3 linked regions of the Nothobranchius furzeri genome follow. The protein of the gene in region 1 interacts with the protein of each later gene in a pairwise test. Links are inferred from orthologs where the notes say so. Each region holds a gene or a part of one and is shown in the gene's direction. Other genes may lie near its edges.

Region 1 (3,218 bases):
AAAGAAGTCTCTTATATCCACTTTTCGTTTTCTTGACATGCTGCCTCCTGGCTGTGCCTAACTACCAAAGACTCACAAATGAACACTTATTCAAATGTTATGTAATGGAAGCTGAGCTGAGCTCTGATATTACACAGCGTCTAGTTGACGATGTGACTCAGTACCGGTGTTCCCTAGCGGCTCCAAACTAGCAAAACAACGTGAGCACGTTCTGACTGTTTACAACTTGAGTGACAGCAGCAACAGCCAATAATACGTTAGCAAGTATCAGCAGAGCCAATAGATAGCTTTTGGGCGGGTCTAATAGTAAACCGGTTTCCGTTTCGGTCCTAGTGCTCAACCAAATCCATTTAATGGAGCGTAACATTGTTTTTGGACGTAAAAAAGTGCAGGGGACCAAAACTGCCTTTTGAAAAAGTGGGGGAGACATGTCCCCCCCCCCCCCCCCCCAAAAAAAATTACGTCCCAGTCTGGCTGGATCGATCAAGGGCGTTTATATGCTGTTCGATTGTTGTGTTTGTTTGTACATAAATGAAAAGAAAAAATAATTTTTTTTTTATTTTCATTTAGCAAACACAGCATCGTGCATCAGTAAATTGCGTCCTTCAACGTAGCTGGAGATTTACACATCTGAGATGATTACAATCACTGTCACGTAACTAAACAAATACCCCCATTCACCCTCTGAAACAGATAAACAAATAGAAACAAGATGGAAAAAATATTGGTTGTTAATATCGGCCCAGTTTTATTTATCAGAACAATACCATATTTTAAAATATGACTAACATTGGCTGATACTGATGCCGATATATTGTGCGGCCCTAATAAAACACGTGTCGCATTTTTTTTTTACTTCTTCTATTGTGAAATCTGCATCACATGTAGTCTGAAAGGTCACTATTCTCTACTCTCTTCTCCTCTTTTTTTCTCCATATTCCAATATTTTGGAGAAGAGGAATAAAGTACTGTTTTGGAACTGTAGTCATTTGCCAACTGTTCATTTCAATACCTTTAATAAACTGTGAAGGAAAATATTTTCTCACATTGCCACTCAAGATTTGTTTTCAGCAACCACCAATGCAGCTGTTTCCCCCCACTAAAATACTTGAAAGAGAAATTTCCAGTATGTTAAGGTTATTTCTTAACCACTGTAGGATACACCTAACACAGCTGGAAAATGTAATTTGTAACGAAGAGTAAATAAATAATGGGTAGGGAAATAAATCCAGACAGAGGAAGTCAGGTGCTTCGGTCAGCTGACTCTCGCTCTGAGTCTGAGTAAGAAGGTAAGAGGGTTCACTCTGAAAAAAGTTCTGTACCTTTAATCAAAAGTGATGACATGGCTTGTTTAAAATGAATGGGAACCATCGACATTGGAAACATAAAATGGTAGCGGCTTGAAGACAGTAGTTTTGCAAATTATCTGTCGCTAATGTATGAATATTTTACCTATTTCATCTGTGAATAATTACCAGAGTGAGACATCTTGTTTTACTCCCGAATCTCTGCTCAGGTTTCTCCCAGAATCAATTTGTTCCGTAAACATTTATCATTGGCCGCTGACAGATCTCTAACCTTGTTTGAAATGTCCTCTGAGAGCGTTGGACATGAACTCTGAGCACAACCTTTAGAAAGGACATTAGAAAGCGAACTCTTATAATTTTGTTCATTTAAACCGAGGAGATTCGAGGTCACGGAGGACAAATAGCACCGGTGCGAGTTAGCTAGCTGCTAGCTTTGCGTGAGTTTAAGTGGCAGCTTACTTCAGTTTGAATCATGTCAGGACCAAACGGGGATCCAACAATCTCCACTGATGATGGTATTATCAACGACGACGATGAATTTGGCGAAGAGGGTAAACTTTTTATGCATACTGAGTCATGTTTCTGAATGTTATTTGAATTATTGAGTCTGGCGGAAGCTTTCTACGTAAATCACCAAAGCGTCTATCCTGCTTTTCACCCGCAGAGTACTCCGCCATCAATACGATGCTGGATCAGATCAATTCGTATCTGGATGACCTGGAGGAGCGTAATGACGCACTGAATGGCAAACTTCACGAACTTCTAGAGTCAAATCGGCAAGCCCGTTTGGATTTCAGGGCTCAGCTGGATGCTCAATCGACTCAAGAGGAAGGGTGCACCCAGAGGGAGCGTCAGACCACAGAGGAAGAGTCTTCCTCACCCACCAAAGATGATTTAAATGAATGCGCAGATTCACAAACTAGTGACAATAGTCGTTAAACGTGGTGTTTTGTTATCAGTACTGATTCAGGCAGATTCTGAGATGAGATCGATTAGTCGCCCTTGATCAGCTTGGGTTTCCTGTCTGTCCTGATTATTTCCGTGAAGCTACATTCCATTTGGCAGACACTCAGTCCAGCTTTCCACCGGTGAACTTTGACACGCTGGTGTTTCTGTTCTATGCAGTTATGAGTTTATTGACCCAGACTTGGAACATTCTGAGTAAAATGTGTTTGTGTAAAAATGTGAAGAGAATTAAAATATTTATCGCAGTTAAAACTGCAGCATCACTGGGGTTTTCAGTGAAGATACCTTACCTCATTTCTGTTAACATTTCCCTATAAATGCTCCAAACATTTATTATTACTCTAAAATCAAAGAGCCATGCATTTCATTTAGAGCAATAACCAAGGCCTGTTTCACAAAATTAACCAACCTCGTCATTTTTGCATGTTGATCACAGATAAACTGAGGGCGATGGCATGCGCTTAACATCAATTGTATCTACTTTAAAGTAGGTTAAATCACACTTCAGACCTTTATCCAAAACTAATTCCTAGCAGTGGTTACAAAGGGTAAATCTTAAGTTTAGGTTGAATTTAATCTAACATTTAAAATAATGAAAAATGATCAGTCTTTGACTTGAACAGTATGTTTCAAGTGTAAAACCACGGAGAGGAAAAACGACATTCCAATGAGTCATGGATCATTATGGGATTTCAGACATTTTAATATAAATTAAGATTACTCCCAAACAGAAAAAGAAACATCCAAAAATACAATAAACTTCCAGCAGTTAGAAAACATCACCTGGTTGTTCATCTCTATTTTTTCAGTAGCTGAATAAAAATACAATAAGAAACAGTTTTGCTTTTTGAAATTCTCTGCCCGTGTTTATCCCACTCCTGATCCACTCAGGTTGAAACGAAGAGGAAAGTTCAAAACACGTCTCGCTCCTTCAGAAAGCATTGT
Region 2 (4,494 bases), on another chromosome or scaffold:
CCTGTAAAGAACACGATTGTGCTGTCAGATGCAGGTCATCCACAGAATAAAAGCTTAGGTGGGAGAAATTCTTCGCATTAAATATACAGTCTTGCTTATTACATACAGTGACAGCCACTTTTAGGAATATTAAATGGCAAATAGGTCAAAGCATGATGTTAAGATCCTCTTAAGCTGGGGTATTCACATTTTAGCACACCTGATTCAATGGTTTCATTATCTCACATTGGTTCAAATGTGTGAGCAGAGAAACAACTAAAACAAGCAGGCAAATTGCCCTTGAGGACCGGAATTAAACACACCTGCTGTAAAACATACAATCTCTGAAGAGAAAAATAAGCCTGTATCCAAATAGGACCATGACTTGCCTCAGCCATGGGGGTGCCCCAAAAGTCATTGAGAAACAGGTTGCGAATGGGGGTGGTGGGCCGGAGGTCCTTGTTGTCGAGGATAGCTGAGACATCATCAAACACAAAGCCACACGAGAGACTGTTCCAGTAACATCCCACCACCAGTCCAGTCAGAAATAAAATCTCCTTCCATGACACGACAGCCATGGCTGGCCAAAGCCCTCATTGATCACTGCAGGGAAGGAGGGGTTGGCAGAAATCAAAATTAATAAGCACAGTTTGATTTAGTTTAAAACGCTTGTATTGTACTTACATTACCAAGCTGATTAAACAGAATTAAACTTTTAAAACTTTGTGTTCCGAGGTTAGAACAGGTCATGAAGCCAATTACATCAAATGTTTTCTGTCTAACTTGAGCCCTGTTATGGCAACAAACTGCAATTTCAACAGTATTTTCTTCTCTGATTGACTGGATTATTTATTCTAGCCTATAATTAAAAGTAAGGTATTTTAATGGCACAGCAAGTAAAGGTATGCATGGAGACTGACCGTTGGCTTTTAAGCTTATCCGGTCAAACCACGACCCGGAGCTGTGACATTTGTCAGTAACAACATCATTAGCAATATAACTCGCTCATTAACATCTACTTTAAAATACAGTATGACGGAAAACGAGGTGGTTCTTGTGTATTCACAGTGACGAGACACCACTAAAAGAGCAGTAAGAGAAACTCAGTTTGACAGCTGAAACTGAACAGCTAGATACTTCATCCGCTAATGCTAACTAGCTCGTTACCCGTCTTTATGTTCTGAAATGTCTAAATATGCGCATTAAGGTCTATCTTACCAAGTGATTACAGGACAGACGGCAGCAACACCAAATCTTATATCAAAATCAAGAAATAGTAGCGTAAATTCGGACAACATAGTTCATCAAACTGTTTTCCATTTGTGCAAACTAGCTTAAACGCTTCTTCGATAGTACTTCCGGGTCAGAGGTGACTGCGCAGGTCAAACTTTAGCTAAACAACAGAGCTGCTAAACCCGTTTTGATGGATGAAACTCACTTTACAGACTCTTCGGAAACGTTATAGTGCGGTATTCCTTTATTATAGGGTCCCGTTTATTGTTTCGTTGTGTTTTCGTTGACGTTTTGTAGCACTTGAAGATTTTTGTGAGTTTTACTTCCTAGCTGTAGCAGTTGTGAAGCGTAACCTAGCAGCCAAAGCCTCACAGAGACCTCAGGAGTTAGGATGAGAGTTTACTGACCTTTTTGCTTCAAAACTTCAGAAACGTTTACACGACGTGTTTAAAGCAGCCTACCAAAATCTACGTTTTATATGAGGTTACAGCGGAGCTGAGTAGAGTTATTTGGTACACCTGACGGCTGCAGTAGCCTTTTAGTCGTTGTCTCGTGAAAACATTGATAACCACAGCAGTTGTCCAAAATGCTGCCAGCCGGCCATGTGTGGAATAAAGTGTCAAGATTTGACCCCTGGAACGTGCATGAATGGAAAAAGGACGAAGTGGACGATGTTGTCCGCACATTTATTTCGGTATTTGTCCACTCTTAAATCATATGAACTCTCCAGATGTGCTCTGTCAGACTAATGCTTTATTTTAAACAATAGAAAACGAGTTAATTCGAAGCGAGTGGAGGAAACAAGCGTTAAACCTCATTATTACTAAAACGGTTGCATGAATTGTCCTACTTGAGCTACTTCTGTTTTTTTGTTGTTGTTGTTGTTGCTGTTTTTAGACTAATCTTTCAGGAACACAATTGTTATTATTAAATATAACCCAAGTACTTTCAGAATACAGATTTCAACTGAATATTTTATTTATTAATAATGAATTCACTGTGAATACATCTGTAAATATTTTTCACATCATTGTATTTAGAGCCAGTGCAATGAGAGAAGAGATGGGGGGAAAACAAGCTCCCATAACAAAACTCATATTTTCACTTTTTATCAAGTCCTTTTTTTGTTAAATATCTATATTTTTAAATACATTTGGGAGTAATTTGAGGTTTAATGCATACATTTTTGTAAAGATCTTTCATTTTAAAAATGAATAGCTGTCATATGTTTAAGAAAAGCCTGTTTAGCAGAATAACTTCATAAAATAGCACAGAATGAAATAAATTCAAGTAAGGGACGAGTAATTGGTTATGATTAACTGGACAGCATTTTGTTTTGTTTGTAAAATACAGAAAATATTATTGCAATTCTTTTCAACAAAATGTACTTTGGGGCAAAAAGTATTTGGCAGCCACTGATTTTACTAGGTGTCCCACTTGTGTGGTGTGGGTGACTTATTTTATCAATCTATTTGTAGTGGTCTCTAGTAGGAATAAATGCCTTGTAAGTCAATATACTAGTAGCCTGGCAAGCTATACTTAATAAATATCTTAGTTTGGCAATGCTCCATTGACTGTTCTTGGTTGTGGGGCAGTTTCTACCATGTCTTTCAAAGGATCTCCGTATGCAACTGGACAACGAACAAAGTGACGTACTCACCGCAACGGATGCCGGTAAATGAGGCGGTCCGCTGGCAAAAATAAATCCTTTTTTCTAATTAAAGGACTTAAATACATCTATCTGCTCCTGATTCTAATGAAGCCCAAGTCCAAATAGTCCAAAATTGATGTAGAAGTTGTTTCAAATGAGCGGTCGCCATTTTGTTCCACTCTGTCGCATCATCCTGCCCACCAGACCGATTGGCCCACAAAGCTGATAGAACGCTAATGCAGGAGATTAGTGTAGGAGACGTTTTTCATGTTCAGCCTGCATGAAAAACTCACAGTGACCGATTCATTAAAAAAATGTTTTTTTTCAGTCAACCACACCTTTAAAAAGATGAAAGAGTACTTTTCATGAAATGTACACCTCAACTGTGAGAGAAAGATAATGTAAAAAAAATCCTGGAAATCACATTGTATGATTTATTTTGTTTATTTGTATAATGGTGCAAAAAATAAGTATTTAGCACCTACAAACAAGCAAGAATCCCTAACAAACCCATTACTTCACCTGTCTTCTATGCTCTTCTGTCCCCCAATTGCTGCATGTGTTAATGGCAGCTGTTTGAACTTGTTAACTGTATAAAAGACCTCTGTTCACACCTTCAAACAGTTAGACACCAACCTCCACCATGGCCAAGACCAGAGTTGTCTAAGGACTCCAGGGACAAGATTGTACACCTGCACAAGAATCTACAATAGGCAAGCAGTTTGGTGAGAAGAGATCCACTTGGAGCAATTATTAGAAAATGGAATACATGCAGGGTCACTGGACATCTCCATTGACTTGGGGCTCCATGCAAGATCTTAATTAGTGGGGTACAAATGATCTTGAGAACAGCTCAAAACTATATGAGGGGAAATGGTCACTGACCTGAAAAGAGCTGGAACACCCTGCAGCGCCCGTAAGGTCTCCCTTCTTATGCCAGCATGTCCAGGCCTGTCAAATAGAATACAATAGACTTTATTGATCCCACAGAGGGAAAATTCACTTGTTGCTGCAGCACCAACACTGAAGAGAATAATTTGAAGATAAATAAGATTTGCTGGAGGCCATCTGGATGATCAAGAGGAGGACTGGGAGAATGTCATGTGACCAGATGAGTGCAAAATAGAATTATTTGGTATAAACACCAATTGCCATGTTTAGAGGGGCCATAATGCTGAGATGCATCCCAATAGTATCACACCCTGTGTGAAGCATGGGGGTGGAAACATCATGTTTTGTGATGCTCTTCAGTTAAGGGGACGGGCGACTGATCTGTATTAATGAAAGGGATAAAAGGACCATCAACAGTGAGATTCTGGGCAAAAAAATTCCTCCATCAGTAAAGGCACTGAAGCTGAAACGTGGCTGGAAATTCCAGCTACTGTGTCCAAACCTGATGAGGACCTACAGGAAACGTGACCTCTGTCATAAGTATAGAGGTGACATTTTGTTATAGACCAAATACTTATTTTCTGCACCATTGCACAAATAATTTCTTTAAAATCCTCCAATCCTGTCTCTCACAGTTGAAGTGGGACTTCTTGTACAATCGGTGGCTGCCAAATACGTTGTTCCCCACTGTAGCTCTTAGATAGTTTTGACTCTATGTCCCCTATTTCACAGGTGAGCAA
Region 3 (3,374 bases), on another chromosome or scaffold:
GCTGAGGTGTGAACAAATTCATCATTAGTCACCTTATCAGAAGTGGTTTCATTCTGATGGCTCTGAGGAAGGTCATTATGATGAAAGCTGACACTTTTGTTTTCCTGTTGAGATCATTTAATAAAACGTGTATTAAAACTCCTCGATCTGCCTTTGAACGTAAAAATATTTTAAATATATATGCTTTTATTAGAATAGACACTTTACTAAACTACGAGTGAAAGCACATGCATTTTGATCAAAGCCATGCCAACATCAGCCTGAGAGGTGCAACTGGCTGCATACTTGGGGAAATGCATCCTCGGGCTTTGGATGTGGGTCCTCCGGCAGCTGCTCCACAAATACGCGGTCCAGCTCGGACGGTCCTTCCACGATGTGATTGATGCCTGAGTAGGCTATCTCGGGGAGGATTCCGTCGCATACTGCTGTCAGAACCAAAACCAGCAGAGATGATCGCATCATGGTGCTGCTGCTGCTTCAGACGCACCGAGGAGGAAGACGAGGGTGTGGCGACGCAGCTGAGCAGAGAAACAAACCGCGTCACCACAGCTGATGTTCCCGTGGATGGTCACGTGCTCGTGCATATTATTCACATATTAAACTTTAAATTATGAAGCCAAAATAATCATGGTTGTGTTTATATTTATGCTTCCAACTCTTTAATGTGAAGGTAGCCTAATATAGCCCTGCTTGGGACGATGTAAAGTATTTTTATAAGTGTGTAGGCTACCTTTACAAGTTGTTTTTTGTAACACACAAAACATCAAAGGCATCTCATAAAAGTAGGTCTGGGGATGTTGCATACATTTTTTTCTACAGATAAGCTTTTCACAACATTTAGCTTCCTTCTTCTGACTTTATTACAGCCAAAATTAATAAAAAAAAATTTATTTTATTCGCTTCTCTAACCCCCCCCCCCCCCCCCCCATCTCTCTCTCTCACACACACAACCTCTCAATTTTGATCTCGAAATTGGGATACAACAACGAATGTACTAGCCCTATTTGGCTGTCGTGCAAACCACATTTATCAAGATGTAAAAAAATAATCGATATCAGCAATACATTTAGATGATATTAAATTACATAAATAGCTGTTAAAAGCCACAAGAACGTGTAATGTAAAAGTTATACAAAAATATAGTTACAAAAATCTAGAAATGTAAGTAAAATGACGGAATGGATTATAGGGCATAGTGAATAAAAATACGGCATTTAAATCAGAATTGGATTAAACAAATATTGTATAAATTCAGACTAAATTTTTATATTACGCAGTAAAATTAAGAAATAATAAAACAACAATTTTGCTACAAAAAAATAGTATTTTTCTGTTCATATAAAAACACGTTATATACATGCCGACCAGATGCTGGCGCTGTATTAAAAATAGCAGACAGCGAAAAGACGAAAAGGATCTTGGGAGTTTTAGTTCTCCGTTGAAGACTGTTGACTTGATTTCAGATCGGAGAACAAAACAACAAAACAAGACTCCAAAATAAGAAAGTTGTGTTGTATTTGGTGAAAAACATTAGATTCGTATGCCGTGACTTCAAGATAATTTGGGTGGATTCAGCCACCGTACGCACTGGAGCTGCGAACTTTTGGCGAAAAGAAACAGGAAGTCGTTAGCTTTGTGGGACGTGTAGTTCCGTTTGCAGGCCGCTTAGCTTGGTAACAGCGCGTACGATAATAAACAAACAAAAACAAATCAAAAGCTGCGTTTTTAACTCGTCTTTCGGGAGAAAAACATGCCCGGGTTCACGTGCTGTGTTCCTGGCTGCTACAACAACTCCCACCGGGATAAGGAGCTTCGCTTCTATACGTTTCCTAAGGACAACGCACTGAGGGAGCTGTGGCTGAGGAACATCTCCCGTGCCGGGGTCAGCGGTTGCTTCAGCACCTTTCAGCCCACAACGGGACACCGAGTCTGTAGTGTGCACTTCGCCGGCGGGAGAAAGACCTACAGCGTGCGAGTGCCATCCCTTTTCCCGCTGCGAGGCGTGAATGAGCGCAGGAGCCGGCGGGGCAGAGGGAGGAAAGTGTCCGCAGCGATCCCTATACCCGCTACGAGTATCCTGGGGAGCACCGCAGTGGGAGCCGATGGCAACGCCGGCGGCGAGGCGGGCCACGAAAGCATCACTGTGGTCCACATAGGCCAAAACGGGGAGTACCTGGGCACAGCGCGGCTACCCGCCCCGACTGTGGGAGCTTGTTTCCCCGAATCGGACGATGGTATCGAACAAATCATAGTCGGTGAGTCTTCAGTCGAAACTGGGGCCGCCGTGCTCCAGCTGCCCGTCCAGTACGTCAGCGTGACCTGCAGCCCGCTGGACCACTCGTACTCTCTGACCACCGGCACCACGTCGGCTGAGCTGCTACGGAAACTGAACGAGCAGCGAGACATCATCGCTCTCATGGAGGTGAAAATGAAGGAGATGAAGGCGACCATCCGCCAGCTGCGGGTGTCCGAGGCCAAGCTCCAGGAGGAGGTGCGGGAACGGGACCGGCTGCTGCTGTGCGGCCATACGGCGGCCTGTGCAAGGAACAAGAAGAAAGTCTGAAGACACCTGGACCTGTTAGAGACACTTGACAGACTGAGAGACTTTTGAGACAGTGTTTAAAACGAAACGAAAAATGAGTTTATTTTCAACAAGTAGACCTGCTTTTCTTAGAGGCCTGATTTAAAAAATAAATAAAAAGACTTCCTGAGTCATGTAGCACATAGGAAAAAGCAAATTTCAGTTTATTAAAAAATAAAATGCAGTTTTCCTGCAGTTCAGCCAGGATCAAAGACACATTTATGCCCCATATTTGCAAGTGATCTGATAGTTTGATGAAATTAATTTAGATTAACCTAAATCGTGTTTTTGTTCTATTCCAAGGTTCTAATTTTGCAGCTTAAAGGTTGATAGGAAATATTTCACGAAGAATGGCAGGACATTAGGATTTCCTTTTCATAATGAAAGTACTTCCTGGTAGTTTTATTCATGTTTGCAGTTGAAGTTAATAAAAAAAGAGTTCCATAGGAGCACAAAATATAAGATGCCAATAAAAATTCTATCATAAGGACACACTGTGTTACATTAGTACAACTTGTTTATCTTTTTAGAAAAAAAAATCTTATATGCAATTTGTCTCCAATGGATGAGAAGTGGGAGGTTTTCAAAAATGAACAAAGATGTCCTATTGCCTTCTTCTGAACATTATAAGACTGCTGAGTGTTTTGACATCACTGACATTGTCTGCTGCATCTCATAGTGCTGTTCATGAGTGTTTTACATGTTTCTGAACTCCATCTGACTGCTTTTGGAAATGATGAGCTCTATGCAAGAGCCTACAGATGTGTTACTGTGACCCCACGACTTCTTTTAG

What was found.
Region 2: the proteins of bbln (region 1) and cep290 interact in binary tests that used the Homo sapiens proteins (3 or more experiments, as listed by UniProt). The two-hybrid records come from large-scale screens. The link is inferred for Nothobranchius furzeri from reciprocal best matches to the Homo sapiens genes BBLN and CEP290.
Region 3: the proteins of bbln (region 1) and thap11 interact in a two-hybrid assay, tested with the Homo sapiens proteins (2 studies listed by BioGRID and IntAct). The link is inferred for Nothobranchius furzeri from reciprocal best matches to the Homo sapiens genes BBLN and THAP11.

The regions. Positions count from the first base shown.
Region 1 is NC_091746.1:54,790,073-54,793,290, forward strand, and holds bbln (bublin coiled-coil protein), read left to right. Parts: upstream 1-1,504; 5' UTR 1,505-1,779; coding exon 1,780-1,858; intron 1,859-1,971; coding exon 1,972-2,246; 3' UTR 2,247-2,536; downstream 2,537-3,218. UniProt on the Homo sapiens protein: Essential for intermediate filament organization in intestinal cells, interacts with intermediate filament and regulates intestinal lumen morphology.
Region 2 is NC_091744.1:50,508,297-50,512,790, forward strand, and holds the start of cep290 (centrosomal protein of 290 kDa), read left to right. Parts: upstream 1-1,590; 5' UTR 1,591-1,798; coding exon 1,799-1,906; intron 1,907-4,494. Other genes in the region: protein O-mannosyl-transferase TMTC3, read right to left, coding at 1-1, 369-557. UniProt on the Homo sapiens protein: Involved in early and late steps in cilia formation. Its association with CCP110 is required for inhibition of primary cilia formation by CCP110.
Region 3 is NC_091749.1:58,063,581-58,066,954, reverse strand, and holds thap11 (THAP domain-containing protein 11), read left to right. Parts: upstream 1-1,557; 5' UTR 1,558-1,750; coding exon 1,751-2,563; 3' UTR 2,564-2,770; downstream 2,771-3,374. Other genes in the region: dkk3a (dickkopf-related protein 3a), read right to left, coding at 1-104, 286-462. UniProt on the Homo sapiens protein: Transcription factor, which has both transcriptional activation and repression activities. Also modulates chromatin accessibility.